Linked DNA regions of Sus scrofa. The protein of the gene in region 6 interacts with the protein of the main gene of each other region in a biochemical or structural test. Links are inferred from orthologs where the notes say so. Each region holds a gene or a part of one and is shown on either strand. Other genes may lie near its edges. The genes, in order: HDAC6, FKBP5, SNCA, TUBA4A, MAPK3, MAPT and GSK3B.

The links.
Region 1: the proteins of MAPT (region 6) and HDAC6 form a complex in vitro, tested with the Homo sapiens proteins (4 studies listed by BioGRID, with this or other methods). The link is inferred for Sus scrofa from reciprocal best matches to the Homo sapiens genes MAPT and HDAC6.
Region 2: the proteins of MAPT (region 6) and FKBP5 form a complex in vitro, tested with the Homo sapiens proteins (2 studies listed by BioGRID and IntAct, with this or other methods). The link is inferred for Sus scrofa from reciprocal best matches to the Homo sapiens genes MAPT and FKBP5.
Region 3: the proteins of MAPT (region 6) and SNCA form a complex in vitro, tested with the Homo sapiens proteins (3 studies listed by BioGRID and IntAct). The link is inferred for Sus scrofa from reciprocal best matches to the Homo sapiens genes MAPT and SNCA.
Region 4: the proteins of MAPT (region 6) and TUBA4A are reported together in a solved structure, tested with the Homo sapiens proteins (2 studies listed by BioGRID, with this or other methods). The link is inferred for Sus scrofa from reciprocal best matches to the Homo sapiens genes MAPT and TUBA4A.
Region 5: of the proteins of MAPT (region 6) and MAPK3, one has a biochemical effect on the other in vitro, tested with the Homo sapiens proteins (2 studies listed by BioGRID). The link is inferred for Sus scrofa from reciprocal best matches to the Homo sapiens genes MAPT and MAPK3.
Region 7: of the proteins of MAPT (region 6) and GSK3B, one has a biochemical effect on the other in vitro, tested with the Homo sapiens proteins (21 studies listed by BioGRID and IntAct, with this or other methods). The link is inferred for Sus scrofa from reciprocal best matches to the Homo sapiens genes MAPT and GSK3B.

What each region holds. Positions count from the first base shown.
Region 1 is NC_010461.5:42,916,852-42,921,012, reverse strand, and holds the start of HDAC6 (histone deacetylase 6), read right to left. Parts: upstream 2,801-4,161; 5' UTR 2,704-2,800; coding exon 2,608-2,703; intron 2,466-2,607; exon of another isoform or gene 2,312-2,465; intron 2,301-2,311; exon of another isoform or gene 2,274-2,300; intron 1,882-2,273; coding exon 1,759-1,881; intron 1,675-1,758; coding exon 1,546-1,674; intron 1,407-1,545; coding exon 1,318-1,406; intron 1-1,317.
Region 2 is NC_010449.5:31,547,031-31,551,188, forward strand, and holds the start of FKBP5 (FK506 binding protein 5), read right to left. Parts: upstream 2,801-4,158; 5' UTR 2,694-2,800; intron 1-2,693. UniProt on the Homo sapiens protein: Immunophilin protein with PPIase and co-chaperone activities. Component of unligated steroid receptors heterocomplexes through interaction with heat-shock protein 90 (HSP90).
Region 3 is NC_010450.4:129,246,329-129,250,523, reverse strand, and holds the start of SNCA (alpha-synuclein), read right to left. Parts: upstream 2,801-4,195; 5' UTR 2,723-2,800; exon of another isoform or gene 2,599-2,722; intron 1,966-2,598; exon of another isoform or gene 1,238-1,965; intron 1,121-1,237; exon of another isoform or gene 1,099-1,120; intron 750-1,098; exon of another isoform or gene 426-749; intron 349-425; exon of another isoform or gene 256-348; intron 117-255; 5' UTR 92-116; coding exon 1-91. UniProt on the Homo sapiens protein: Neuronal protein that plays several roles in synaptic activity such as regulation of synaptic vesicle trafficking and subsequent neurotransmitter release.
Region 4 is NC_010457.5:121,291,249-121,295,346, forward strand, and holds the start of TUBA4A (tubulin alpha-4A chain), read right to left. Parts: upstream 2,801-4,098; 5' UTR 2,668-2,800; coding exon 2,665-2,667; intron 879-2,664; coding exon 656-878; intron 344-655; coding exon 195-343; intron 1-194. UniProt on the Homo sapiens protein: Tubulin is the major constituent of microtubules, a cylinder consisting of laterally associated linear protofilaments composed of alpha- and beta-tubulin heterodimers.
Region 5 is NC_010445.4:18,293,678-18,296,410, forward strand, and holds part of MAPK3 (mitogen-activated protein kinase 3), read right to left. Parts: intron 1,827-2,733; coding exon 1,637-1,826; intron 1,457-1,636; coding exon 1,340-1,456; intron 1,032-1,339; coding exon 917-1,031; intron 519-916; coding exon 387-518; intron 1-386.
Region 6 is NC_010454.4:17,124,391-17,127,890, forward strand, and holds part of MAPT (microtubule-associated protein tau), read right to left. Parts: intron 3,138-3,500; coding exon 2,940-3,137; intron 1,911-2,939; coding exon 1,778-1,910; intron 1-1,777. UniProt on the Homo sapiens protein: Promotes microtubule assembly and stability, and might be involved in the establishment and maintenance of neuronal polarity.
Region 7 is NC_010455.5:140,289,609-140,293,108, forward strand, and holds part of GSK3B (glycogen synthase kinase-3 beta), read left to right. Parts: intron 1-1,238; coding exon 1,239-1,345; intron 1,346-3,500. UniProt on the Homo sapiens protein: Constitutively active protein kinase that acts as a negative regulator in the hormonal control of glucose homeostasis, Wnt signaling and regulation of transcription factors and microtubules, by phosphorylating and inactivating glycogen synthase (GYS1 or GYS2), EIF2B, CTNNB1/beta-catenin, APC, AXIN1, DPYSL2/CRMP2, JUN, NFATC1/NFATC, MAPT/TAU and MACF1.

The DNA.
Region 1 (4,161 bases), on a different chromosome or scaffold from region 6:
CTGTAGCTCACATCCTCACCTCCTGCAGATCCCCACTCGCGTACTGAGGCCTCCCCTGACCACCCTATTTATTCTGGTCTTTTTAGGGCTGCACCCACAGCACAGGGCAGTTCCCAGGTTAAGGGTCGAATTGGAGCTGCAGCTGCCGGCCTACACCACAGTTCACGGCAATGCTGGATCCTTAACCCACGGAGCGAGGCCAGGGATCGAACCCGCATCCTCGTGGATCCCAGTTGAGTTCGTTAACCACTAAGCCACGAAGGGAACTTCAATAGTAAAGTCTTTTGACATCCTGACTCTTCCACTGGGATAGGGGTGATAGATACTAAACTGGTGAATACATAAGTATAACAACAGACAAACAATGACATGGCTAGGAATAATCTGAAGCTCAGGGGAAGGGGAGTGGCCAAGCAAAGCCCTCTCTGAGGGTCTCCTGGAGACATGACTGTTAACTGGGAGAGAAGGTGGAAGTGAATTTCTGGAAAGGGCATTGGCCAGAGTAAAGGCCTGAGGGGAGGGAGTGCCTGGCATGTTGGAAGCACAGTAAAGGGACCAGTGTGTGTGAGGTGAAGCGAAGCAAAGCGAATGAGGGGGAGGACTGGCTGATGAGGTCACCAAGGTGCTAGGGAACCAGATCACGTGGAACCTTAGAGGCCAAGAGGCTGGGGTGAAGAATGTGAACTTTACCTTCAGGGCAACAGTTTGCCCTTGAAGGACTTAAAGAGAGAGAACATCATCTTATACATATTTTTGGCGTGGAGGGGGAGCATGGGCAGCAGGGCTGAGGGTGGGAGGCCTCTGCAAGTCTAGGTCAGAGATGATGGTGGCAGCAATGGAGGCGGAGAGGAGAGGTGAGATTCTGAACATAGAGCCAAAAGGATGTGCTGATAGATTGCAACGTGTGACTCTTCTGTATCAGCACAGACATCCCTTCTTCAAGGAAGCCTCCTGGGAACCCTGGATGCTAGTCTAGGGTCCTCTATTAAACACTTCTGACTCCCCTGGTCTCGAGTCCTTCTTCATGAAAACACCTCACACTGCTGGCGGCTGTTTGATGACCTGCTCTCCTTATCGCCTGTCAGCTCCTGGAGAAGGATCCCTGTCTATCTGGTCTGATACATCTGTAATCACCATCCCTGGGCACACAGTAGGCTCTCAATAGATATGTGTTGACTAAATGAAAAGAACCCATTCGAGCCTGAGCCTCGTCTCCCTAGGTCATGTGCTAGAGTAAGAAAGGATTCATTCTTGCTAATGGGCTCTAAGGGTGTATGTTTGTGTGATTTGAGTATGGCCTGGAGAAGCCAGCCTCACCTGTCATCCCAGAGGCAGTGGAATTCATTTAGCTGCTCATCCAACACCAAGCCAGTGCCAGACGGTGTCCTGGCCTCCAGGTTCAGATCCTGTGAGGAAAAAGAAAAAAGGGAAAGGCTGATGCATTGAGAGCCTGAGTCAGAGGGAACCTCCCACACTCTCCAGGATGGAGAACCTCACGGTTTTGATTGTCACAGGAGGCTACATTGCAGCCAGGCCCCCTCTCACCAGCCCTTGGAGCCCCACGATTAGGTCTTGCTCGGCTGCTTGGCTAAGCTTCTTCATTCTGCCTTTCTTCTTTACATCCGCTAGATTGGGGCTGGAGCGGAGTCCGGCACCCTTTTTAACACCTCGCTTCTGCCAAACAGAGAGAAGGGTCAGAGTCCAGTACACGGCCCACTGCTCCCCCTCCCCCTCAAGAGGGCCGGTCAGGGGCCTCACCGAGGTGACGCTGGAGTCGTGTGGGGGGGAGTGGGGGTTGTGCCTACTTCTTCGCTGCCTGGTTGTGGTGGAATCCTGGCCGGTGGAGGTCATGGCTGGGGAGACTTCACCCCTGACGCGGTTCTGGGGGGTGGGATGGAGGTGACTGAGAAGGGGCCCCGAGCGCCCTGAAGACCCCTCATCCCAGCCCCTTCCCAGGCCCCGCCCCCTACGCTAGCCTCCATCCCTTAGGCTATCTATTCCCCACCACCTCTAAACTCCGCCTCTCTCAAGGCTCTCTCCCTCCAAGGGGGTGTCCATTCCACTTGGTCCCGCCCATTCCACGAGGCTCCACCCCTTTACACTATTCTTTACCCTTTCGGTCTGGCTCTTTCACAGAGCAATTAACCCCCTGGCCCAGTCCTGATCTAAGCCAGCCCTTGCCAGCTAATCACCGCCCCTTTCACTCTATCAAGCCCCATTCCCAGATCCTTTCATTCCTCAAAGCCTCGCCCAGACCCCACCCCTTCGCAAACCTGCCCTGGCCAGCCAATCTCCCAGGATAATCACCCACCCTTTCACTCAGCCAGCCCCAGCCCCGGGCCCCGACTCCACCCTTAACGATCCACTTAACTCCACCCCTTATCGGGCTGGACCGGCACCTTCCACTAGGCTAGATCCCGCCCCTAACGTTTCAAGGAGCCCAGCTCCTCAGGGGACTGCCCTTTCCCTTCCGCCAGGCTCCACCCCCTGCCCAGGCCCAACCCCAAACGCTTCCCCAAGCCCCTACAGCCATTTCCGAGCCCCTCCCCCAGACCCGCCCCCCCCTCCCCGCCCCCGCTGTCGACGTTGACGAATCCCTCCACTCACTTGGCGCAGCCCCTTTCTCAAACTCCGCCCTTGGCGCGCGCCGCCAATTTCTCGGCGACCTGTAGGGCCGCGGGTGCCTGAGCCTCTCTTTTCCATTGGGCCAGATCTCTCTACAGCCCGCCCCGATCCCGCCCACACCGGGGAGAGCCGGCCTTGCGCCTCCAGCGGAACGCACAAACGGCGGATCAGCGCGTCAGTGCGCGACGCTGGCCGTGCCGCGCCTGCGTGAAGCGCGCGCCGGCTGCCTGACGCGGCGCTCGGGCTCAAGCTTCTCCCCTCCCCCAATCGCCACAGCTGTCACCCTGGCGGTCGTGACCGCGGTTTCTTTGTCCCTGTCCAGTTACCTTAGGAGCCCACCGGACTCGCGCCAACTGTACCGTGCGGTGACTCAAGAGTGCAAGCAAGCAAGCGAGGGAGTTAGGAAAGGGCGTCTTCTCCCTGCCCCCTGGCTTCCCGCGCGGCGCGCCGTGATGACGTAGCGCGGGCGGGCTGGTGGCTGGGCCTGGAGCGCGGTGGAAATTGGACGAGGCTGGTGGCGGCCAAAAAGGGAGTGGTGATGATGACAAATGTGAGAATTTTCTGAGTTCATATTCACTAAGGTGGTACGCAAGGAAGCACTCACCAAATGTTAGCTATTAATAGTCTGCCGCGAAAATGGATGGTGGAATGGAAGGGGGAATGATCGTGACGATAGCAAGTTGTATGTGACAGGCATTGTCGTAAGCCACAGTTCTATGAGGTACTTCCCAGTACTAAGGCTGCTTTGCAGATAAGGAAACTGAGGTTATGGGACTTAGCCATGTGACTTTGGGCAAGTTACTGAACGACTCTGTGCTTCAGTTTCCTCCTCTGGGAAATTGTGATAATAGTGCCGGGGAGTCAGAATGGACCTTGGGAGGGGAGTTTTTCTTGGGTGACAGCTCTTCCTGTCTGCTCCCTCCAGTGGGTAACCTCTGCACGCAAGCTGGAATAGAAAGTGTATGGGTAGGGGGGAGTTGCGCCCCCCCCCCACAATGCGCCCTCCCAACTCTCTCCCACCCCATGGCTAAATGTCTGAATATCAGCCTCGCAGGAGGCCGGTTTGTCCTCCTAATCTCCCTCTCTCATTCTTCACCATTTCCTACCGGGCTGTAGGCTGGGGCGGGAGAGATAAGGGGTCTGGGGTTCAGCATCGCTGACTAACCAACAGATTGACAGCCCCACCGCCCAGTAGCTGGGCCCTCTGACACTCTTGCAAACCCGTTTCAACCTAGTCTTCCCTTCCACTCTTTTCCTACCTGAACGTGTCTTTTGTCCCAGTGGAAGAGGGTCGCAGCTAAAAGACCTTTACACCTCCACGTACGCCAGAGAAAACATGTATATGCAGTGATAAACACAGAGGAACGTTCTGAGGTGATGCTTGCAAAGTGAAAGAGTAGGGAGTCTTGTAAGGGCCAAGACCCACTTTTTTTGTATAGTCAGAAGGGAGGTTTCTGTACAACAAAGGTTGGCAAACTTTTTCTGTAAAGGGCCAGATAGTAAATATTTTAGGTTTTGCAGGCCACATACTGGCCT
Region 2 (4,158 bases), on a different chromosome or scaffold from region 6:
ATGACAAATTATGAGATATAAATTACTTCGAGTACTTGAATTTTAGTGTCTCAAATACTACTGAAATATCCTTACTAACTTGTTAGCTACATATACACAAGGCCCTACTATAAATTATTTTAACCTGTCTCATTTGGCAGACCTGTCTTTTACACAATAAACAAACATCTTAGTCGCAAAAAAAAAAAAAAAAAAAAAAAAAATCGCACTTCAGTGGCTATTGCTTTTAAGTCAATAATCATGTGATGTACCTACCAATGGCCGCCTAATCTCTGATGAATGTACATTTAATGTCCCTTACACTTTTGGGGACATAATTTCAGTAGTTAAAAAACACTGTAAAAAAAAAATTCAGAATGTAAAATGAAAAAAATCTAATTTCTAATCAGCTAGGTTAAAAGTTCAAATAGTTTCAGAATTATAAAATGTATAGAACATGTAACTGTTCAGCATAAAATAATTACAAATTTAGTGTGCCAAATTATGTAACTATAGGCTTTTATTAGGAATTGTGAAAAATTACATTAAAGGCCTACAGAGACTATTAATGAGAGATACAGCAAGCATATTACTGTTAAATAAAACAGTATTAATATCTGAATTGTGAGATTTATCCTCAAGTTTAGTTGGTTTAATGTGTTCCGGTTTTTTTGTGGCTTTACTCGTTAAAAAATATTTTCCCAGCCTCAAACTCAAAGGGAGCCACACCTGAGGGTTAATGACAAAAACATTCCCAATGTAAACTGTGTAGATGCGATAATTCAACTTATGCTTAAATTTGAAACTGTAATGTGGCTGATAATTTTATGATATGGTCTACCACAAGTTAAAGTAAACAAAGTTAAAGGGGACAAAAATCAGCAATTAAAGTGTGTAAAAACTGAATCTGAAAGCAATCTTTTAATTAAAAGTCACTTTTATAGTTAAAGTTCCCAAAATATGCTTTTGTGTAAATGAAACTATGAAATGTAGCTTTATGATATGTGGTATATTTAAGCATCATCACAGGACAAAGATTTTATAACTAATTACACACAGTAGTTAAACTAATATTCCCATACACTTTAAAGAACAATTAATTACATAAATCGCTCAGAACCATGAGAGCCCGGGTCTCATAAAAGTCTTCAAGTCTATTTATATAGAATCAAATCCACTCTGGACAAGTCACTGTTCAACCATTCAACCTTCACTAAGCATCAAAAAGGCAACTCAGCTTTCAATAGAAATTACTTCTACACCTATATATACAAGGATGGTCTTCCTTTCCTAGACCGATTCGTTCTAAGCTAAGAAGCCTTGAGGAAACTAAACAACCTATTCAATCCAAGAAAAAACAGAAAATTGAAGATTTCATTAGTTGTCTAATCTAATATTTTAAAATAGTCACGTTGAACTGATTAAAATTGTTTTAAAAAAGAAATTCACCCCAAATTCCCATCCCTAAAAAATTAAAGATTCAGAAACATACTTGTTTTGTTAAATGTTTGAAAGACAAGGACCTCTCAGCATATAAGCCTGTTGTTCTAAAGAAATAAAACATTTTATAAAGACCACTTTGTTTTGCTTTTTTTTTTAATCCCCAATAGTCACAATTAGCTTATTGGTTAGAGTTCACCTTTAAAAGGTGTCACTAATTATCTAAATAACTAAAATTACTATTCAACGAAACACTAATAAAGTAGCATACTAAATCAGAAGTATAACTTTATCACTAAGTTAAACTTACATCTAAGTATAAACCATACCTAGCACAGACATCAAAAAGACATATTAGCAAAGAAAATCTAAATCAACTGTTTATCCAATACGTCATTAGTAACCTTCATAACATATTTTTAAGTAATTACTACATATTATTTTAAAACTTTTTTTTCCCTATAGGTGCCCTAAATTGGTCAGGGCCATAACTGCAGAGTGTTAAGCAGAGGTCAGATGGGAGAGGCAGAAACAGAAAATGTTAAGTATGACAAACAAAAACGTCCCACAAGAATAAGTTTTCACATCCATCTTTGAATTTGGACTCAAACGCCCAAGAGGAAAAGTTACTCTAATTCTCTGGAGACCTCTTCTGAGGGGCAGGGGTGGAACGGTGGGGGAAGGAGAATTCCCAGAGACAATTAAAAACACTCAACCAAAATATGCCTTAACTTTGCCCTGGTCCGCAATCTAACAAAATGGGAAGACAATGAACATAAACACTCCTGTGTGCCCTCAGAAAAGCAAAGAAAGCTCCCATTCAATGCTCAGCCTTATTCCACTCCTGTAAAGTAAATCCAAAACCACGAGCTCAAACTGCTTCATGCAGAATTTACTGAATGGCGGCCAAAGGCTGTACACGCTGTCCTGAACCACACAGAGGGATATCTAGAGTTCTGCATTCTCCATTTACAACTTGTACCTTACCATGCTTTCGCCACCGCTGCAGAAGCCCATTTTCAAACTGAGACTACGACGTTCCTCCCCGCCCGTCCGTGTGAAGCAGGTTCTCTCCCGGCGGGAGAGAAACTTCGCCTTCGCTCTCCCGGCCCCCGCCCAGTTTTTAAAAAATTGAACTAGTTTGACTCCTCTACTGCAACCAGCACCCCTTTTTAGAAGTCATTAAGGGTAGATGCGTTCTAACGCCCCGGAGTGAATTGAATACGGAGCCCTAAAACTCCTCAATGGCCTTCACCTGGCACTAAAATAATCACCTGTTCAAACTGAGCGGCCCTGGCACCCTCTAAGCGCGGCCGAGAGCGGGAATGCTGTTCCAGTCACCAGTCCCGGGTCTGCAGGTGAAGGCGGCGAACACACATCCACACCCACCGCCCGGGGAGCGCAAACCGAAAGCCAGGACCGCGGCGGCCGGACGCTCCGTTATCCTCGCCCTGCGCGGGCCCCGCCAGGTGAGCGAGGCTCCATCGTGCCCGCGGCGTCCCGACGCTCGGCTCACCCCAGCTCCACTTCTCCCGCCGCCCGGGCCCGGAAGGCGAAGTTTCTCTCCCGCCCGCGGCGGCTACTGCTCACGCGCCGCCCGGCCCTCCCGCCAGTCCCGCCGCCTGCTCCGGCCGGCCGCAGTCACCGGCGCCGGGCCTCGGACGAGCCGGAGCCCGGGACCTGTCACCCCGGGCGGGAAACAAAAGCCGGGTGAGGACCAGCGGGCGCCACCGGCCTCGCCTCCGCGAGGGGGAGCGCGGCGGGGGCGGGGAGCGGCTCTCGCGGCCGCCCGGCTCCGCGCCTCCAGGAGGGAACCCCGGCCCCGCGGCCTGGCGGGACGCAAAGGAGCCCCGCGGCGGGCTGGGGACCTCCGGCGCGTCCGCCTCGAGGCTTCCCCGGCCCCTCTCTCCCCGACGCGCCGTTCCCGGACTGGGGAGCCGCATGAGGAGGCGGGGAGGCGGAGCGGGAAGGCGGCGGGACCGCAAAGGAGGAATTCGGCTCCCGGAGCTCCACGACCACCCGCCCCATCCTTGCGGCCATGGCGCCGGTACCTGTCGCCGGGGTTGCTCTACTGCTCTGTCTCTCCCCGCCTCACCCGCACGCAGCTGTCCCCTCAGCCCGCCCAGCAGGCCGCCCGCGCGCCGGACGCCGCCGCCTCCAGAGACTGGCAGCGCCTGCGAACCGGCCCGAATCCCCCGGGCAGCGCCCGGCGCCGTCCCGCCCCCGCCGGCCGTAGGACCCGCCTTCCATAGGGCCCCGGGGCCGTCAGTCCGCCCCCAAAAGGCGCGCGGGCTGTCGCTCTGCCTGTTCGGATTGGCGGCCTCGCGCTGTCCATGCAAATAAGGCCCCGCCCCCGTCCATTTGCACCTCCGCCTTGGTGTAACCTCCGCCTCTCCACGCCAGCCCACGTGTCTGGCCCTTGCCCTTTGTGGGGGCTGGAGGCAAGGGATGAAGGAAACTGACCCACACCCCCTCACACCGTTCCTTGCCTCCAGGGAAATTAATGCCTAAATAAGCTTGTTGACTTAACAACGGGGTCTCTCCCTGAAAACTCTGTCCCCCTTCCTGCCCACCCAACCTGCCCCGTGGATGGAGAGGGGCAGGCCAGGCTGTTTGTGTCAGGTAAGCAAGCCAGGTTAGCCCCAGGAAACACCACCAGGAACTCAAAGTTGTCTCTCAGAAGTGGGAAAATCCCACCCGGAGAACCGTCGCACATAGCACTTTTCTCTGGACTTGCAG
Region 3 (4,195 bases), on a different chromosome or scaffold from region 6:
CCGCTGCTTCTGCCACACCCTGTTTGGTTTTTTCAGCAGCAGCCACGACTCCCTCCTTGGCTTTTGAAAGTCCTTTCATGAATACATCCATGGCTAATGAATTCCTTTACACCACACTGGAGAACACAAAATACACTTTGAGAACTTTGGGGTAAAACAAAACGAAATTAGAACCACCCAAGGTAAAAATCACTGAAAGATCAGTAGACTCCCCCGCCCCCCCCCAAAAAAAATGCAGGACTCTTGTAGGTGTACCTCTGTTTCAACCACTGGACAAAGCAGCCTTTTTTTAGCTTTTGCATTAAAAATTTAGCATCTCCCATCCATCTTGTTTGGTGGAAGTCTAGCCTCCTAAACATGGATTGGGATGAATCATCTGAGTTGTTCTCACCGCATTCCAAGTGGAGTTACATGAAAGGACTTACCCCCTCCCCCCTTTCAATTTCCCAGGGTCCAAACGATGAAGGTGTTAAGTTAGAAGTGCGTTTAGAAGACAGATCACAGGAAACGGAAAAAGGAGCTGGAGGAGGGGGGGTCAGAGATACTCAAAATAAATCCCCCAAACAGCTAACAGGTTGATCAGGAAGAGGGGTGGGAAGAGAACCACTCACTCTGGGTGTGGCTGAACCCCAGGCCAACTGCAAGCCCACCTGCAGTGGCTCTCACCCACTGGACGCTGTACCCCACCTTCAGCTGTCTACCCTGAGCAGGCAAGCAGGAGCGTTCACACCTGCAGGCAGTCTCCGGATGCGCGCCAGCTGCCAGAGGTGGAGTTAGCCCGCTGAACCCGCCACCCACCCGGCGCCCAGCACCTGTTAACCCCTTCCCACCTGTTGACTTGCTCTCTCTGCGCTTCCATTTAAAGGCTTGCCCAATACAGCTTGCTTACTTTACAGAGAGAACAGAGAGGGTGGGCTGGGGGATTTAAGGAAAGTAAGAAATAAAAGTTGAATAGTTATAATCCTTCGAGCATCCTCGACTTTCCCAAAGGAAAAGCGTATCCCGGAGAATCCAGACCGCTCAGCCTTTGAGGACGAGAAGAGAGGTAAGCCGAGTCAATTTACTTTCCTCAAGCTCACCAAAGGGGTCAGTGCCCACCTCTAAGAGAGACTCGACTATGGCAGGTCCTCACCGCAGCACTAACCCCCCCCCCCCCCCAGGCGCCGCAATGACTCTTCTCCCACCAGGTTTTCTCCAAGATTTCCCAAGCTGCCCACTTAGATTCACAGGTACTTACCTGATTCCCTTGGCTCCTGAGAACTCCGATCCTCCCCGCACCCACTTAAAAAATTTTAAAAACAATTCCTAAATATTATTTAAATGGGAGGGAGGAGGATAGGAGCGCACAGGAAGGGTGGAGGCGGCACCAGGAGAGGGATGGCCCTCAGCGGAGGCGGCTGTCGGCACAACCCTGGGGGGAGAGGCTGGGGGCGTGGGAGGGAACCCGCGAACCTGTCGTCGAATCGCCACTCCCCGTCCCCCGCACGAGAGGATTCCAGGCAGAAGAAGGGAGGAAGGGAAGGCGGCGAAAGAGCGCCAAGGCTGCCAAAGGCAAGGCGCGGTCCCCGGGTCTGCTCCAAAGCCAGCACACACCTCACCCCCACGTCGCTGCGCTCTGTCTCTCGCCCCCTCTCCTGGGTCCCCTTCTAGTGGTCTCGGTCCTTCTCCTCGTCTTCCTCCTCCTTCTCCTCCGCTCCCCGCCCCCGCAGCGGATTTGTCAGCGCCGCTCCCCGCCCCGCTCCCTGCGCGCGTTGCTTTCCCCGCCGCGTGCACTTCACTCCTCTTCTCGGATGGGGGTGGTGGGAGGCTGTACCTCCAACGCCAGCCGCCCGCCTGGGCTTGGGAGACTGGAAGGTGGGGTGTTGGGCGGTTCACCTCAAGTTCAGGGGCGCCCGGGCTCTGGCGGCGATCCGGAGCTCTGAGGCTTGGGCTGATGTCTGATGTCTGTTTCTCTCTCCCCATCCCCCCTCCTTCCCAGTCTCCGCCTTTCCCCCCGGTTTTTCCTGCGGACCCCCACGTCATGAGCCAGCCCGGGGAAGTGGGGTCTGAGGGCTCTACCACCAAAATAGCGCCAGTCTTTCGGGGAGCTGCTAAAGGAGACAGGTAGCTTCGGAAGGTACCCGCATCAGGACCAAGCGCAGGTTTCCCTCGCATCACTGAAATTGGATGAAGGGTCCTTAGGACACAATGTTAACGAAGCTTTTGTTTAACTATTCTCCGGATTTAACGTTTGTTCTTAACCTCTCCTGAGCCCGAAGTGGTCCGGCAGGTGGAGAGGCGACTAGTAAGGATGAGTTACAGGTTGAGGAGGCAGGAGGAGGCTCGTCAAATCCTCTTCCCACCCCACTATCACCATTTTCTTTCCACCAATCAGCGGCTGCCAGACGCTGATTTTTCCCATCAGTGGATCAAGGAATAAATATTCCCCAGCCGTCGAAACCCAGCGGCTGTAAGGCGTTTTGTTCTCAGAATGGGATTTACTTTCCAGATTCCTGTTCCTGGATGGAAGAGATAAATCCAGAGTGACTGAGTCTCCTGAACCGTCATATCCAATTTCATGGGCCCCTTCTGAAAAGAGAGATTCCACATACCACTCACCTTTCCGACTACTGATTCACGTTGTCCTCGGGGCTGACAGGCTACCCCATCCCACACACAGACACACAGACATACACATGCACGAGCTTCAAGACAATTTTTGCATTGCTTGACACAGTTTCACCTTTCAGAGCTGGAGGGAAAACAGCTGTTCCTGGATCACACCGGAATGGAGAACCAAGCTCCTCCCCCTAACAGACTGCCTCTGCTTGCTTTGCCTGGAATAGGAGGATGCTTTTAGAACTGGAAGGGGAAAAAACAGGTCTTTGCAGATTTTTTTTTTTTTTTTTGCTTGTCTTGTGTTTATTTGTGTGTGTGTGGGGGGGAATTTCTCTGATCCTTGGACTCACATTCTGGAATGTGAGTAAAAAGTAATTTAAATCTACAAAAACAACAGTTTGAAACCCAAAGAGATGGGAAGCAAGTATATATATTGCTTAACCTACTCCTTGCACTGATGGTCGGCCCTTTTAAAAAGTAGGCTTTCTAAAAACGCTCCTATTTTGTTTCCTGGGGAACTTGGAAGGAAACTTGGAAGTTGGTTTGCTTTTTGGCTTTGAGAGCCAATACAAGTTATGTTCAGTTTTCTCTTGTAAAGGGAGAGGAACCAAGATGATCCCTCTCTTTTCAACTTTTTATTATGGGAAATGTTCAAACATACAAGAATGGAGAGAATAGGAATTCCTGTTGTGGCTCAGCAGTGACAAACCCAACTAGTATCCGTGGGGATGCGGGTTCCATCCCCAGCCTCACTTAATGGGTTCAGGATCCTGCATTGCCATGAGCTGCAGTGTGGGTCAGGGATAGGGCTGGGATCTGGTGTTGCTGTGGCTGTAGTAGTAGTATAGGCCAGTAGCTACAGGTCCAGCCACCCCTGGCCTGGGAACTTCCATATACTGCGGGTGCACCCCTAAAAAGCAAAACAAAAACAAAAATAGAATAAAGGACTCTCCATGGAATATCACCCAGCTTCCACTGTTTTCTTTCTTCTTTTTTTTTTTTTTTGTTGTTGTTGTTGTTGTTATTGTTGTTGTTGCTATTTCTTGGGCCGCTCCCGTGGCATATGGAGGTTCCCAGGCTAGGGGTTGAATCGGAGCTGTAGCCACCGGCCTACGCCAGAGCCACAGCAACGCGGGATCCGAGCCGCGTCTGCAACCTACACCACAGCTCACGGCAACGCAGGATCGTTAACCCACTGAGCAAGGGCAGGGACCGAACCTGCAACCTCATGGTTCCTAGTCGGATTCGTTAACCACTGCGCCACGACGGGAACTCCTTCCATTGTTTTCTAATGCAGTCAACCACGTGCATCTGCATTCTTGTCTATTCCCTATATTTATCACTACTCCTTCCCCCAATTTTTACTAAATCCCAAGAATTATATATGTCTTTTCATCTGTAAATATTTAACCCTGCATCCATAAAATATAAATCTTTTAAAATAAACAATACTATTTCAATGGTCTTTTCTCAATTTTAAGTAAGATTTATAAACAGCGATAGGCTCAGCTCTTGAGTGTTCCCTTAAAACAGTTTTGAAAAATACATGCTGGGAAAAGCATCTGAAAGGGAATGGAATGTGTGTACACGTAGAACT
Region 4 (4,098 bases), on a different chromosome or scaffold from region 6:
GGCTCCACAAAAGCCTAAAACACCTCAGGAGTCAAGGCTAAGTAAGACTAATGAGTGTTCCATAGCCATAGCAGACTCCGGCACATGTACAATTAGAGATGACCCCATGAAACAGATCTGAAAAAAAAAAAAAAACTGTTTCTGACCACCAGCATCATCTCAAGAGCTCCCTCCCTTCCATCCCAAATTCTCACCAGCTTGCGGATCCGGTCCAGTACCGGGTCAATAATTTCCTTGCCGATGGTGTAGTGACCACGGGCATAGTTGTTAGCCGCATCCTCTTTCCCAGTGATGAGCTGCTCTGGGTGGAAGAGCTGCCGGTAGGGGCCATTTCGGATCTCATCTGGAAGGACATAAACCACACCGTTAGGGCACAAACCACAAGGCGGGGCTCAGCACAGACCCCCCCTCCCCCAGCCTGGCAGCTGTGGTCAGATGTATGGAAGAGCTCATGCTTCTGCCAGCCTGAGATAGCAGTGGGTGAGAGAAACCCAGACCTGCTGCCCAGCCAGTCTGCTATCAACTTGCCTTCTTTAGTGTCTAGCAGGGCAAGGGGTTTTCAGGGCCAGGAAAGCCAGGTCTAGACACCCTCACTCTAGACAGAAGCTTAGAGTCACTTTCCATTCCCTCCATTCCACCCCCCTCTTCCTCTCACCAATCACGGTGGGCTCCAAATCCACAAAAACTGCCCGGGGCACATGCTTTCCAGCACCAGTTTCACAGAAGAAGGTGGTGAAGGAGTCGTCTCCTCCACCAATGGTCTTGTCACTGGGCATCTGCCCATCCGGCTGGATCCCATGTTCCAGACAGTAGAGCTCCCAGCAGGCATTGCCCATCTGGACACCTGCCTGCCCAACATGGACTGAGATGCATTCACGCTGAAGGATAGAGAGGGAGGACACGGCATAAGCCCCACATACAGAAGTCCTTACCTCATGAGCCTTTCTCCCACCCTATCACCTACCAGTTTGGATGACTCAGTTGGTTAAAGTGGAGGCTTGGGGCTGGGCAGAGGTCAGAAGAGGCTGGCAGCCTGCCCAGGCTCCCCTGCATAAGACTTCCCAACTAGGGGCACCCAGTAGGGCAGGCCACTTCCTCAGCCTGCTTCTCCGTGGGGACCTTGTCAGGTAAGAGCTAGGGCTCCGCATGCTCCCGCCACATTCATAGGACACTCGGGGAGGACGGAGAGGGCGAGTGCATAGGAAACAGGCGAACACTGCAGTAACTGAGACAAGGACAAGTGATCTTTCAGCTGTTCCCAATTCCTACTCCCACAAACCAGCTCTCAACAGAAGAGACAGAAGGTCTTCCAGAACTATGAATGTGTGTAGCTAGAAGTCCCCTGTTTGATTAATTCTTTGCTTTGAGGATGAACAACTAGGATGTCATATAACCCTCGCCCCCTTTCATTCTTGCGGGCTGCAGGGGTGTCTCAGCCTTCCAGTCTGGCATCAACTGACCACATGAGCCATCAGGATGCCCTCCTCCACTTTAAATCCTATCTGGCTCTGGGATCAATCCCATCTGGCTGCTCTCCCCACCTCCACCCCCACACTCTGGGTATCTTCACCACCTTCATCCATTGCGGAGCAGGCACTGAAATTGCAGAGAGCAAAAAACGGCAGGCACCCGCAATAAGGGTTGTGGGCACTGGGGCCCTCGCTGCCCTAGGCTCATCCCTGCCAGTCTGAAATTAACCTCTGAAGAACCAAAGCGGTGCAGCTGCAGGGCCGGCGCAGCCTCCCTTTTCAACACCGAAATGGCGGGGTGACGGTTTCCAAATACCCAGAAGAGGAAGCGGAACCTGCGGTGAGGCCTCAGAGGTAACCCGCCTGGCCCTGGACAGGGTGAGCGCCATCCTGCACTCCGGCCCTGCATTCGTACTCCTTTAAGATTCTTTCCAAGTTACATCCCAGCGGAAAGCGAGGATTGGATTTCGGCCCCCATCCCTGGGCTATAAATACCACCCCCTACACACACCTCTTTCCCCTCCCCCCAACCTGGCCCCGGCCCGTGCTCTCGCTCAGCGCCAGCTGTCTCTGCCCGTCCGCGCACCCGGACTCCTGTTGGAGAGAGTCCGGCTCGCCTCACGAGGCCGAACCCCATTCTTGCCACCCCTCTAGGCTCAGAAGAGGGGTGCTGAGTCACGGGTGGGAGGCATGAGGGTAGGAGGGATGCTCACGTAGTCGGAGGAAAAGGTGATGGTGGACCAGGTAATCTGACCCCTTTCCACTTTCTTGCCCCGAGCACGTGTTGGGTTAGTTCCAGGGACTAGGGAGTGAGTGGGAGGCTAGGAGCCGAGGGCAGCCGAACGGGTCTCCCTCGCCGGCAGAAAGGACTGGGCGCGGGACCTCGTGACTCCCCCCAGGAGGGTTAGGGCACAAATGCTTGCAGAGCAGAAGGAGATTCCAGAGGACTCCTATTTGCTAGTGAAGAATCCCACCCCACTCCACCTCCTTCCCCAGGCTCCGAAAGTGGACAACGCTGCCCACCCAAAGTCACGGGGAGGGGGTGGGGTGGAAAGAATGCACCCCCCCCCAGAAAAAAAACCTCCGCAAGACCTAGAACTCCTAATGGAGGGCCCCGAGCATCCCGGGAGGGAGGGTCCCCGAAAGAGAGGGGACACTTGTGGGACAGGCACGATGCTGGCGGGGCCGCACTCACCATGGTGAGTCCGGGCGGTGGGTCTCACGTAGAGTCCGGGTGACGGGTCTCAGTGAGAACTGCGCTAGCTGCAGTGCCGCACCGCTCTTATACGCGGGGGGCGGGCCCGCGCGCTCCGACCGCCCACTAATAGCTGGGCGGCCCAGAGGCCCCGCCCCCGGAGGGTAGGCGGCCGTGAGGGGTTGGGCCCCGGCGAGTCCCCTCCCCTCAGCGTGCCCGCGTTGCTCACCTGTCGGACGTGGGTTAGGAGTAGCGACCCGGGCTTTAACCCTTCCCTCCTAGTTTTGAGCCGACACTCCGAGCTCCCAAGCTCCGCGGTTGGGACGCTGGGCGCGGTGCCAGGGCGTGTCTCGCCTGCACCTGCATCATGCGGGCGTCTGTCGCTCAGGTGTTCTGACTTAGGCCGGGTGCCGTAGAGGCTGTTTTTCCAAAGTGGCTGCACCCAGCCTTCGCCAGTGCCCTCCCCGCCCCGCCTCCCTGGAGGCTCCGGCCGACTGCCTGGCTTTGGCCCGTCCCCCAGGATCCCTCTGTAGCCGCACGCGGCCTGATGGTCCCCGGCGGGGACCGCTGGCCTTCGCCGATGCCTGTGGGCGGCTGAGGACCCGGAGCTGCACAGCCTGAGCCCCAGGTTGCCGATCCTTCCGGCTGCTCCGCAGAGCCGACCCCACAATCTGTCAGCGAGGGCCGACCCCCAGAATCTGCCAGTGCTAGCCGACTGCCAGCGAGTCAGAGGTCCCGTCATCAGAGCCGTCACTATTAGCTGGGCCTCGCCATGGCCACCTGCCCGCTTTCCTGCTGGAGCCCTATATGACCTTGGGCAAGTGACTTAACCTCACCGAGTCCTTGGCATCTTCACCGGTGAAGAGGAGACAAGATTCCGCCCAGAACGCGTTGTCGTGAGATAGCACAATGTTTGTTGACTCTGAGGAGGAAAAAAAGAAAATGGAGATTCTGACATTATGGTTGATTTTGATTTTACCATCCTCTTCTGTCCCTAAACCATGGGCAGGATTTGTGACTTGCATCTCAACACCCTCATCGCTCAGGTGGACGTCTTCACTGAAGCTCTTCCCTCTTTTTATGTTTCATTTCTGTTTCTTGCAGGAATGGACTTTTCAATCTATGTCTGCTTTCCTTTGTGTGCCTTACATTTCCTAGCTGTCTCCTTTCACTGGGAAAGTCATCAGAAGTGCCCTATATGCCTACTGGCACATCCTTAAGAAACCTGTCTCCAAGACTAGTCACTTGAAAAAGACTCACTTGCTTCTCCTATCACAGTGTTTCTTAGGGCCAGGGCTGGTGAGTATACAGCATAGTAGGATAAAATAACTAACAACGGCAACTTTCTACCAACAAAATAGCTGACTGACACCTTATTTAGGCAAGGTGTAGCAAGGGATGCAATGAAAGATGACAAAGTCTTTTTTCCCAGTA
Region 5 (2,733 bases), on a different chromosome or scaffold from region 6:
CATTACTTTGCTTCTCTGTGTCCAGCGGCCTGTCTACTCAGGCAGCTGCAGGGCTCATGTACTTTCCCCTGCACCCAGGTTTTTTTTGTCTTTTTGCCTTTTCTAGGGCCGCACCTGCGGCATATGGAGGTTCCCAGGCTAGGGGTCCAGTCAGAGCTGTAGCTGTTGGCCTACGCCACAGCTCACAGTAACTCGGGATCTGAGCCGCGTCTGCGACCTACACCACAGCTCCTGGCAACGCCGGCTCCTTAACCCACTGAGCGAGGCCAGGGATCGAACCCGCCACCTCATGGTTCCTAGTCAGATTCATTAACCACTGAGCCACGACAGGAACTCCATGCACCCAGTTTTTACCAAACACACACTGGCTCCCACGCTTCTCTCACCTTTGGGGTCCGACTTGGGGAAAAGCTTGGCCCAGGCCACCTTGGTCTTGGAGGGCAGAGACTGCAGGTAGTTTCGGGCCTTCATGTTGATGATACAATTCAGGTCCTCCTGGGATGGGGAGCCCAGGATACCTGTGGGTAAGCAGGTGACCCGGTGAGCAGCCTATTCCTTCTGGGAACGAAAGGAGCCAAGAACAAACGCTCCTACCAACTTACTCGAGGACGACAATTATCTCACAGCCGATACTGCGCTGGCAAAGAGCAAGAGGTCTGGCTCTGGGCAGCCCTAGGTTCAAATCCCAGCTCTAGCTTTTCCTAAGTGTGGGGCAGATGTAGTCTTGCTGTTCCCATCTATCCAAGGGGGACACTCTCAAGTGAAATACTGTGAAATGCTCAAGGGGCTGCACACACCGTGGTCCCCCCGACCTGCCTCTCACAGACTCTCGGACACTGACCCTGACCTTTAAAGAAATCTCACCTCCAATAGGCTAATCCCCCGCCCCGACCCAGCTGGCCAGGCCCCCCCTCACCCAGAATGTGGTTGAGCTGGTCCAGGTAGTGCTTGCCCGGGAAGATAGGCCGGTTGGAGAGCATCTCAGCCAGAATGCAGCCCACAGACCAAATGTCTATGGACTTGGTGTAGCCCTGGGGAGGAGGAGAAAGTGGCAGGCTCCCACCCCAGTCTCAACAGGGCCCTGCTGTTTGGGCCAAGCCACCTCCCGCCCCCATCCCTGAAATCTAGGTTCAAGGCCAGCCAGGGAGGCAGAGGGCAGAGGCCCAGAGAAGCTAATCTGCAGTTTTGTTCCCAAGAACCAGAATGAGGTGACAAGGCCCGGGAGGTGGACTTCCTGCATACGGGCACGGGGGATGTCAGTGCCTGGCTCAGAGGCGACTCCAGGGCTTTCTGGAACCCGGCCCTTTCACTTCATGGGTTGTGGGGGCGGGGGGGCTACCTTGGAGTTAAGCATGATCTCTGGGGCCCGGTACCAGCGCGTGGCCACATATTCCGTCAAGAAGCCAGTGTGGTCATGCTCGGGATCCGCGATCCGGGCAAGGCCAAAGTCACAGATCTGGAAGGCAACCCAGGCTGCTAAAGCTCGGGGCTCAAGACCGCCTGGGCCCAAGCAGTCACAGGGCCATGCCGCTGCCCGTGCGGTTCCCTTTGCTCGTGATGCTCTGCCACCCCTGGGTGCTACGGGTCACCGGGAAGCCTGAGACCCAGGGGCAGGATGGGCACCCAACCCTCTGACCTTAAGGTCGCAGGTGGTGTTGATGAGCAGGTTGGAGGGCTTTAAATCCCGGTGGAGCACGTTGGCGGAGTGGATGTATTTGAGGCCCCGCAGGATCTGGTAGAGGAAGTAGCAGATGTGGTCGTTGCTCAGCTGCTGGCTTTTGAGCAACTTGTACAGGTCTGTCTCCATCAGGTCCTGCACAATGTAGCTGCAGGTGGTACCAGAGATTCCCCCCCCCCAGGTGGGGGCGGCAGGTGGCACTTGGTTAAGAAAAACAGGCTCTGGTGACTAGGATGCGCCCCTCCAGCTGATGCCCCTGGGACTTAAAGACCTGCCAGCTAACCCTAACCCTAACCCTAACTTAAAGACCTGCCAGCTTATATGAGCAAGGCTCATACTCAGCAGGTGGGCTCAAGACCTCTGCTGGCGCTCAGCTGGTGACCCCTGAGCAAAGCACTTCAGTTACGTGGCTTCCGTTTCCCTACTGGGAAAGGGAGGACAATACACTGCGGGAGGCAGGAGAGCGTCACAGTTAAGAACAATAGCTCTGGGGAGTTCCCTTTGTGGCTCAGTGGTTAAGGAACCCGACCTGGATCCATGAGGATGCGGGTTCAATCCCTGGCTTCGCCTCAGTGGGTTAAGGATCTGGCATTGCCGTGAGCTGTGGTGTAGGTTGAAGATGCAGCTCAGATGTGGCATTACCGTGGGCTGTGGCCGGCAGCTGCAGCTCTGATTCGACCCCTGGGCCGGGAACCTTGATATGCTGTGGGTGCGGCCCTAAAATGCAAAAAAAAAAAGAGCATCAGCTCTGGAGGTCACCTGCCAGCATCTCAATCCCTCCTCCACTGCTAATGGGTCTTATGACCTTGACCATCTATGCCTCTATTTCCGCATCTGTAAAGTAGGGAAAAGAACTCTTCTTTAGAGGAGTTCCCGCTGTGGCACAGCAGGTTAAGGACCAGGGTCACCCCAGGTGCCATGTGGGTTGCAGCTGTGGCTTGGAGTCGATCCCTGCTTTGGGAACTTCCACACGCCACTGGTGTGGCCAAAAAACAAATAAACAAACAAAAAAGGAATTGTTCTTTAGAGAGGGTTGTAGAGATAAGCTGAGATGA
Region 6 (3,500 bases):
CCCTGCTCCGGGGGGTCATCCACAGAGAAGAGGTGCAGTTGGGTTCAGGGACCTGGGGCCCTATCTGGGGTCTGGCAGGAAACAAGGCCAAGGGGCCTACAGGTGAGACCCATCCCCCCAAGAGCAGGTAAGATTTACAGAGAAACATGTTTCTTTTTTTTTTTTTTTTTTTTTTTAATTTTTTTTTTATTTTATTTATTTATTTTTTTGTCTTTTTGTCTTTTGTTGTTGTTGTTGTTGCTATCTCTTGGGCCGCTTCCGTGGCATATGGAGGTTCTCAGGCTAGGGGTTGAATCGGAGCTGTAGCCACCGGCCTACGCCAGAGCCACAGCAACGCGGGATCCGAACCGCGTCTGCGACCTACACCACAGCTCACGGCAACGCCGGATCGTTAACCCACTGAGCAAGGGCAGGGACCGAACCCGCGACCTCATGGTTCCTAGTCGGATTCGTTAACCACTGCGCCACGACGGGAACTCCCTGGAGAAACATGTTTCTTGTCTCTTGTTAGGACTCCAGTTGTATGAGTGAAAAAGAGCAGGATCAGACTCATATGTAAAATCCAGTCATCCCCCTGTGAGTTACCCCTGTGTCATATGTATTCTATACATGAGGGAAAACACCAGGGGAGAAAACCAACTGATGGGTCTTAATGAGTGGCCGAGCATGCAGGGCCCACTCTACAGCAAACTCACGAAACACCATGGCAAAGACACGCAGCAGACAAGGGCTTCGAGCAGCCACCCCAGGGTCAAGGAGCAGCAGAGGCAGGGTGGCACCAGCTCAGGCCCACACACAGCCCACACAAGACCCGCAGGCCCCTGGGCACTGCCCCAGAGCCAATGCAGGCCAGACACTTCCCGCGTCACGCATGGTCTAAACCCAGTTGGCTGGGACAGTCACCGGGGCAGTGGGACAGGGGCGCTCAGCCTGGATGTCCCCAGTAGAAGCAAAATGGCTCACTTGAAGCCTTGCCTCAAAGACGTGTAGGTTTTATTCACAGCAGCCAGGGGAACAGGCGCAGTGAGACTGCTCAGCAAAGACCCTCAGACAGCCCTAACATCCCAGCAAGTGAGCAGGGGCTGCACCCTGTGTGAGGTCACCCCTAGTGACCTAGGCCTCATCTAGGGGCTGAAACACCTCTCATCTCTCCTGGATAGGGGTTGGAGAAGCTCAGTGAAGGCCTTTTCCCATCAGTTATTAGTCTTGTGGCTGCATTTTCCTCAGGTTCAAAGTGCTCTTAGACTTAGTTACACAAACTTTCAGAGCCTTGATTTCCTCAAGGTAAAAAGTGGGGATTCAGGAGTTCCCACTTTGGCACAACAGGATTGGTAGCATCTCTGCAGCACCAGGATACAGGTTCAATCCCCAGCCCAGCACAGTGGTTTAAAGGATCTGGTGTTGCCACAGCAGTGTGGGTCGCAACTGTGGCTTGGATCTGATCCATGGCCCAGGAACTCCATATGCCATGGGTGGCAAGAAAGAAAGAGAGAAAGAGAGAAAGAGAAAGAAAGAAAGAAAGAAAGAAAGAAAGAAAGAAAAGAAAGAAAGAAGGAAGGAAGGAAGGAAGGAAGGAAGGAAGGAAGGAAGGAAGGAAGGAAGGAAGGATTCGATATCTAGCTCCGAAAATCAAAAGAATTAGAAAACAAAAGTTCGGTGCTTAGTAAACCACAGGTGACGTTCAGCGACCAGGGATTAACCATGAGAGCCTCCAGAGGTAGAATCGTCTACAGCCAGCTCTTCCCCTGACTCGGATGCCAGAGAACACCCTTCTTACCAGAGCCCGGCGGGGTCTTCGGGGAGGGCGTGGTTTTTGCTGGAATCCGGGTGGCATTGGCCGGGCCTTTCTGGCCTGGAGGGGCGGCTCCCCGGGGTGTGGCGATCTTGCTTCCAGGTTTACCATCCGCCCCCTGTAAACCGAAGCACGGTAGAGTGGTTTTTACCATTGGGAAAGGTTCCTGCCACCCAGCGTCAGTGCCAGCCCCATTCTACCACCTCGACTCAAAACGAGGCTAAGATGGGGTGACCCTGTGTCAGCCAGATGCAGCAAATGCCCTCTGCAATCACAAGGGTTTGCTGGGCACACAAATCCACACCGGCCACCAGGTGCCCTGACTGCCGTTTCCTCCTGGAGGAACAGTGCACAGGAGTTACCTGCACAGGCTGAGCGAATGTACTGAATAAAAAGTCAGCAGAGGTTACAGTGATGATCAAGTTCATCACCCGCCCAGTGTCGGCGGGCAGATCTGCAGACCCTCCCTGTGTGGGCAGCACCCTCTGACTCCCCTGAGGGATTTATCTGACTGGTGGTGGTTAGTTTCGGAGGCACAACTGAACCTGACTGAGGTTGCTAACCGAGCTTGGTCCTAATCTTCTGTTCTCTTCCAAATGCGCCTTTAAGGGGTCAGTAACCCCTTAGGAGCGCTAAGAGCCCTTGGCTAAGAACACCAGCTTCGATGAGCACATGGGCCGAAGGTGGAGCACAGGTGCACAAGCACGGTCAGCTGACCGGGGGGCAGGTGTGGGGTCTGGTGACCTTGACACATACACAAACTCAAAAAAGAAACTGACATTAACCAAGGACCACAAGATGGTTCAGGAAGGAGTGACCCAGTGGGAGAGGCGTGGCTGCAGAGGGATGCTGTCCAACCCAAAGGAGGGCAGTCAGGAAGCACTCCCATTACCAAAGTCAGGACCCCCAACAGAGCGGTGATTTTTCAAACCAGGGACCCCTCCGGTGCCTCGGGATGCTGCTAAGAGGGGTTGAGGGGTGCCCAGAAGATGGCGCTGTGCCTCCTCGTCCCCTTTCAACCAGAATTTTAACTACACGAACCTTCTAGGTAAGAATGTATCCAAAGAAAGGTCTTTGTGGCTAGGAAAGCATACATTTGAAAACCACAGGAGAGCAGCCTGGTTCTTCCCAAAAGTGGTTTCCTTACCTTGACTTTCATCTCCTTTGCTCCAGAACCGCCAGTTCGGGGTGTGACAGAAGAGACGCGTTTAGGAGAGGAAGATGGCTCTGGGCACACGGCAGGGCTGGAGGGTTTGATCAAAGGGTCTGAGCTACCAGGAGTGGGGCGTTTGGGGCTAAGGCAAGGCCTATTTTTCAGGGTTTTAGCGGAGGAAGGTGTGGATGTCTTAAACATAAACATAAATAAAATCAAAATAAAAGTCAGCACATGGGGAAAAGAACAAACTGAAAAAGGACAGACAGTAACTAAAAACAAATAAGGCAGGCAGTGATTTAAAGCCGTGATCTCCAGACTGTTTGGACCACGTACCCTTATCGGTTCCTCTCATCAGGAAGAACAGAAAGTGACCGTGCATTTGCGTATTTGTTTTTCGTCAGCTGACACACACTCTATGATGCTAACAGATGGTGTACGTTACACAAATGAGAGATGACAGCACTTTAAAAAGAGGTGGAAAGTGGAGAGAGGTCCTAGTGTGTTCTTCCTCCAGCTCCCTAGAGCCACTCAGGCCCCCCACTTGGGAGGCCG
Region 7 (3,500 bases), on a different chromosome or scaffold from region 6:
TCTATAGCATTTTTTATTTCAGTTTGTCTTCAAGTTATATTGAGAAACATTGCAAAAAATTTTAATTTACTTTAATATTTAAAATGCATGCCATAAAATATTTGGGAAGGAAAGTTGGATTAAAAGAAGGTGTGATTAATCTTTATAGACAACAGAATTAGAATTCATAGACTGTGCTTTCTATCTGTCCTACAGGAAAGGGTCTTTTTAATTGGGTAATGAATGTTTAGACAGTTAATAAATTGGTCAAATGGTGGAAAAATAAAATAGATTGGGTCTGTAAGCCTTGAAGTACCGAGTCAGAAGTCAAATTATAAGAGAGTGCTGATTTCTTAACCTTTTAAAAAACATATTACTTAAGCATTCTTGTGTGTGTGTGTGTGTCTTTTAGGGCCCACCTGCGTCATATGGAGGTTCTCAGGCTAGGGGTCAGCCACGGCAATGCCAGATCCTTAACCCACTGAGCGAGGTCAGGAATCAAACCTTTGTCCTCCTGGATGCTAGTCAGGTTCGTTAACCGCTGAACCACAATGGGAACTCCTACTTAAGCATTCTTATATTAAAAATCTATTACGGAGTTCCCGTCGTGGCGCAGTGGTTAACGAATCCGACTAGGAACCATGAGGTTGCGGGTTTGATCCCTGCCCTTGCTCAGTGGGTTAACGATCCGGCGTTGCCGTGAGCTGTGGTGTAGGTTGCAGACGCGGCTCAGATCCTGCGTTGCTGTGGCTCTGGTGTAGGCCAGTGGCTACAGCTCCGATTCGACCCCTAGCCTGGGAACCTCCATATGCTGCGGGAGCGGCCCAAGAAATAGCAAAAAGACAAAAAAAAAAAAAAAATCTATTACTATGCTTTTTGGTGAGAGGCGGTACCTCTTATTTGTCTGCTTTTCTTTCTCTGTATTTTAGAGGTGAAATTCAGGGAACAAGAGCAGAAGATACATAGTGTTTATCCTTTGTGATTTTTAAAATCTTTCCATGGTAACAATTGTCAGATGCACTCTTTAAAAGTAACTGTTGTTTTTTGTTTTTTGTTTTTTGTTTTCAGAGTGGTGTGTTAAAATTATAAGTTTCTTTTGTCAGAGATAGTTATGGTTCATATTTTCTTTTTCCTGTATGTTGCATGACAGGAATTATGGGAATCTTAGATAAACATTCGGTGTTGCAAATGATAGCAGTTTTGTTTCATTTACAGTTTAGATTTAATTTAAAGAATTTCTGCTTTTGATCTTTTATTAGTGCAAAGCAGCTGGTCCGAGGAGAACCCAATGTTTCGTATATCTGTTCTCGGTACTATAGGGCACCAGAGTTGATCTTTGGAGCCACTGATTATACCTCTAGTATAGGTAAGTACTGATTCTGAATATAATGGGTTGTAGTTATTAATTGCATCTTGTTTTTAGAAATATGTTTCTTCTCAAAGATTGATATACAAAAATGTATATAATTTTTAGAATTTCATCTCTTAGAATTTAATTTATATTTACTATTCTACTTTGAGGTTTCTTGGATTATAAGAAAAAGTAATAAAGTTATTCCTTTGTGATTGTATGATTTCTCTAGGATTACAGTTATTTTTAACTTAAAATTTTAAATAAATTCTAAGTATACTTTTTCTTCACTTAAAAGAAAAATTACCCTGAAATACCCACTTTTGAGCTTGATTATTAGTTGGAGAATTTACATTCATTAAGTTCGTGAGTAAAGTGGTAGGATTACCATTTTACTGAGTCTTACTGTGCTGTTTCAATTGGTTATTTAAGTCAGCTCAAAAGGAACAGTTTTGACTTTTTCAATTAGTAGTTTGGATAGACCCATTAATTCTGTAGAAGTTGCCACTAAAGATCTTTAATGATAGAAGCAATTGAATAGAGACAATTTTCTTCATTCTTCATTGACCTCTTCTACTCTATTTTTGCTCACTAGTAGGGGTGCACAAGTATTTTCAGTGGGCATGAATAGGAAGCTGGAGCAACCTTAGGGTGACATGCAGATGGAGGTCAAAATTATTTTATTGTTATATATTGTTTCTGAAGAGTATTCCTTAGTTCAGAAACAAACAAAAGCATGCAAATACCAAACAAACAAAAACTAAAATAAAAAGCTCACAGTAACAAGAACTTGGACACTTTTTCTCTTTTGATAACATGTAAAAATTCTCTAGTATGAATGAAGACCTTTAAACAGAAACACATTACTGTTATTTTTATTTTGCCAAAGGGCAAAGTGCCAAAGAACATTTTGATTTGTGCCATGAGGCCAGTAGTTTAACTCACCATTTCTCTTGCACCGTCAGTGCAAATGTCAACATAGTGAAAAATGAAGCTTATGAAAATAACTTTGCCCTCAGCACCTCTGAAAAGGTCTAGGAGACCCAGTGCTCTGCAGATCATACCTTGAGACCTGCCGCCCTGGAAGATAGAGAGTATAATAATGTGTGTGTGTGTGTGTGTGTGTGTGTGTCTGTGTCTGTGTGTGTAAAATGCTCAAAAGTTTCACTATGGCTATGTTATAAGGCATATGTTCAGGGACAGATGAGAACTAGTATAATGGATGTTTTGGTTGAATAGACCAAAATTTGAGGTCCAGGTTTACTGCTACTCAGCTAAGCTATAAAGTGGAGATTACAAACCATTCTGTTTACCTTTCTGAGTGGCTGTAAGGATTAAATAAAATGTTAGTGAAAGTACTATAGAAATATGAAGTGGGAGTTCCTGTCGTGGCTCAGCAGAAAGGAATCTGACTAGCATCCATGAGGATGAAGTTTCGATCCCTGGCCTTCCTCAGTGGGTTAAGGATCTGGCATTGCTGTGAGCTATGGTGTGGTTTGCAGACATGGCTCGGATTGCACATTGCTGTGGCTATGGGGTAGGCTGGCAGCTGCAGCTCTGATTCAACCCCAAGCCTGGGAACTTCCACATGCCTCGGGGTCTGGCCCTAAAAAGACAAAAAAAAAAAAAAAAAAAAAAAGAAATATGAAGTGGTGTTCTTTTTGTGGTATTTGTTAACTTGACTCTATCCCAAGAGCAAATTTCAACACTTTTTATCTTTGGAGAGTTTGGGTTTTCTAGCTGCTTTCTGTTTTATTCACATATATGAAACTAATCATGTGCATACCAGGATGAGATGCATACTGGGATGAGTTTTGCCAGGGGCACCTAAAATAAATGCAGTTTGCTTCTTTTTAAAAGTCATGCACTGACATATTAAGGCATGTTTATATAAACCTTTGACCCTCTTAAGAGTACATTACTTCTGTAAATGTCCATGTGCCCAGCAGTTCTTTGGGAATCCTTTCTCAAAAAGAAGGTCAAGTGTAGTCTGTTTTCTCTATTAAGAATCGATTTTCTGGATGTTATGAGTACTGACTCTCTAGTAGCCTTCTTTGCATGACTAAGATCAGATTCAAAAGTTGCTGATTCAACAGGAGCCTTTTGAACCCTACAAGCCTATATTTGACCTTCCTTTTTAGATTTAGGATATGTGCATCTTAATACTGTG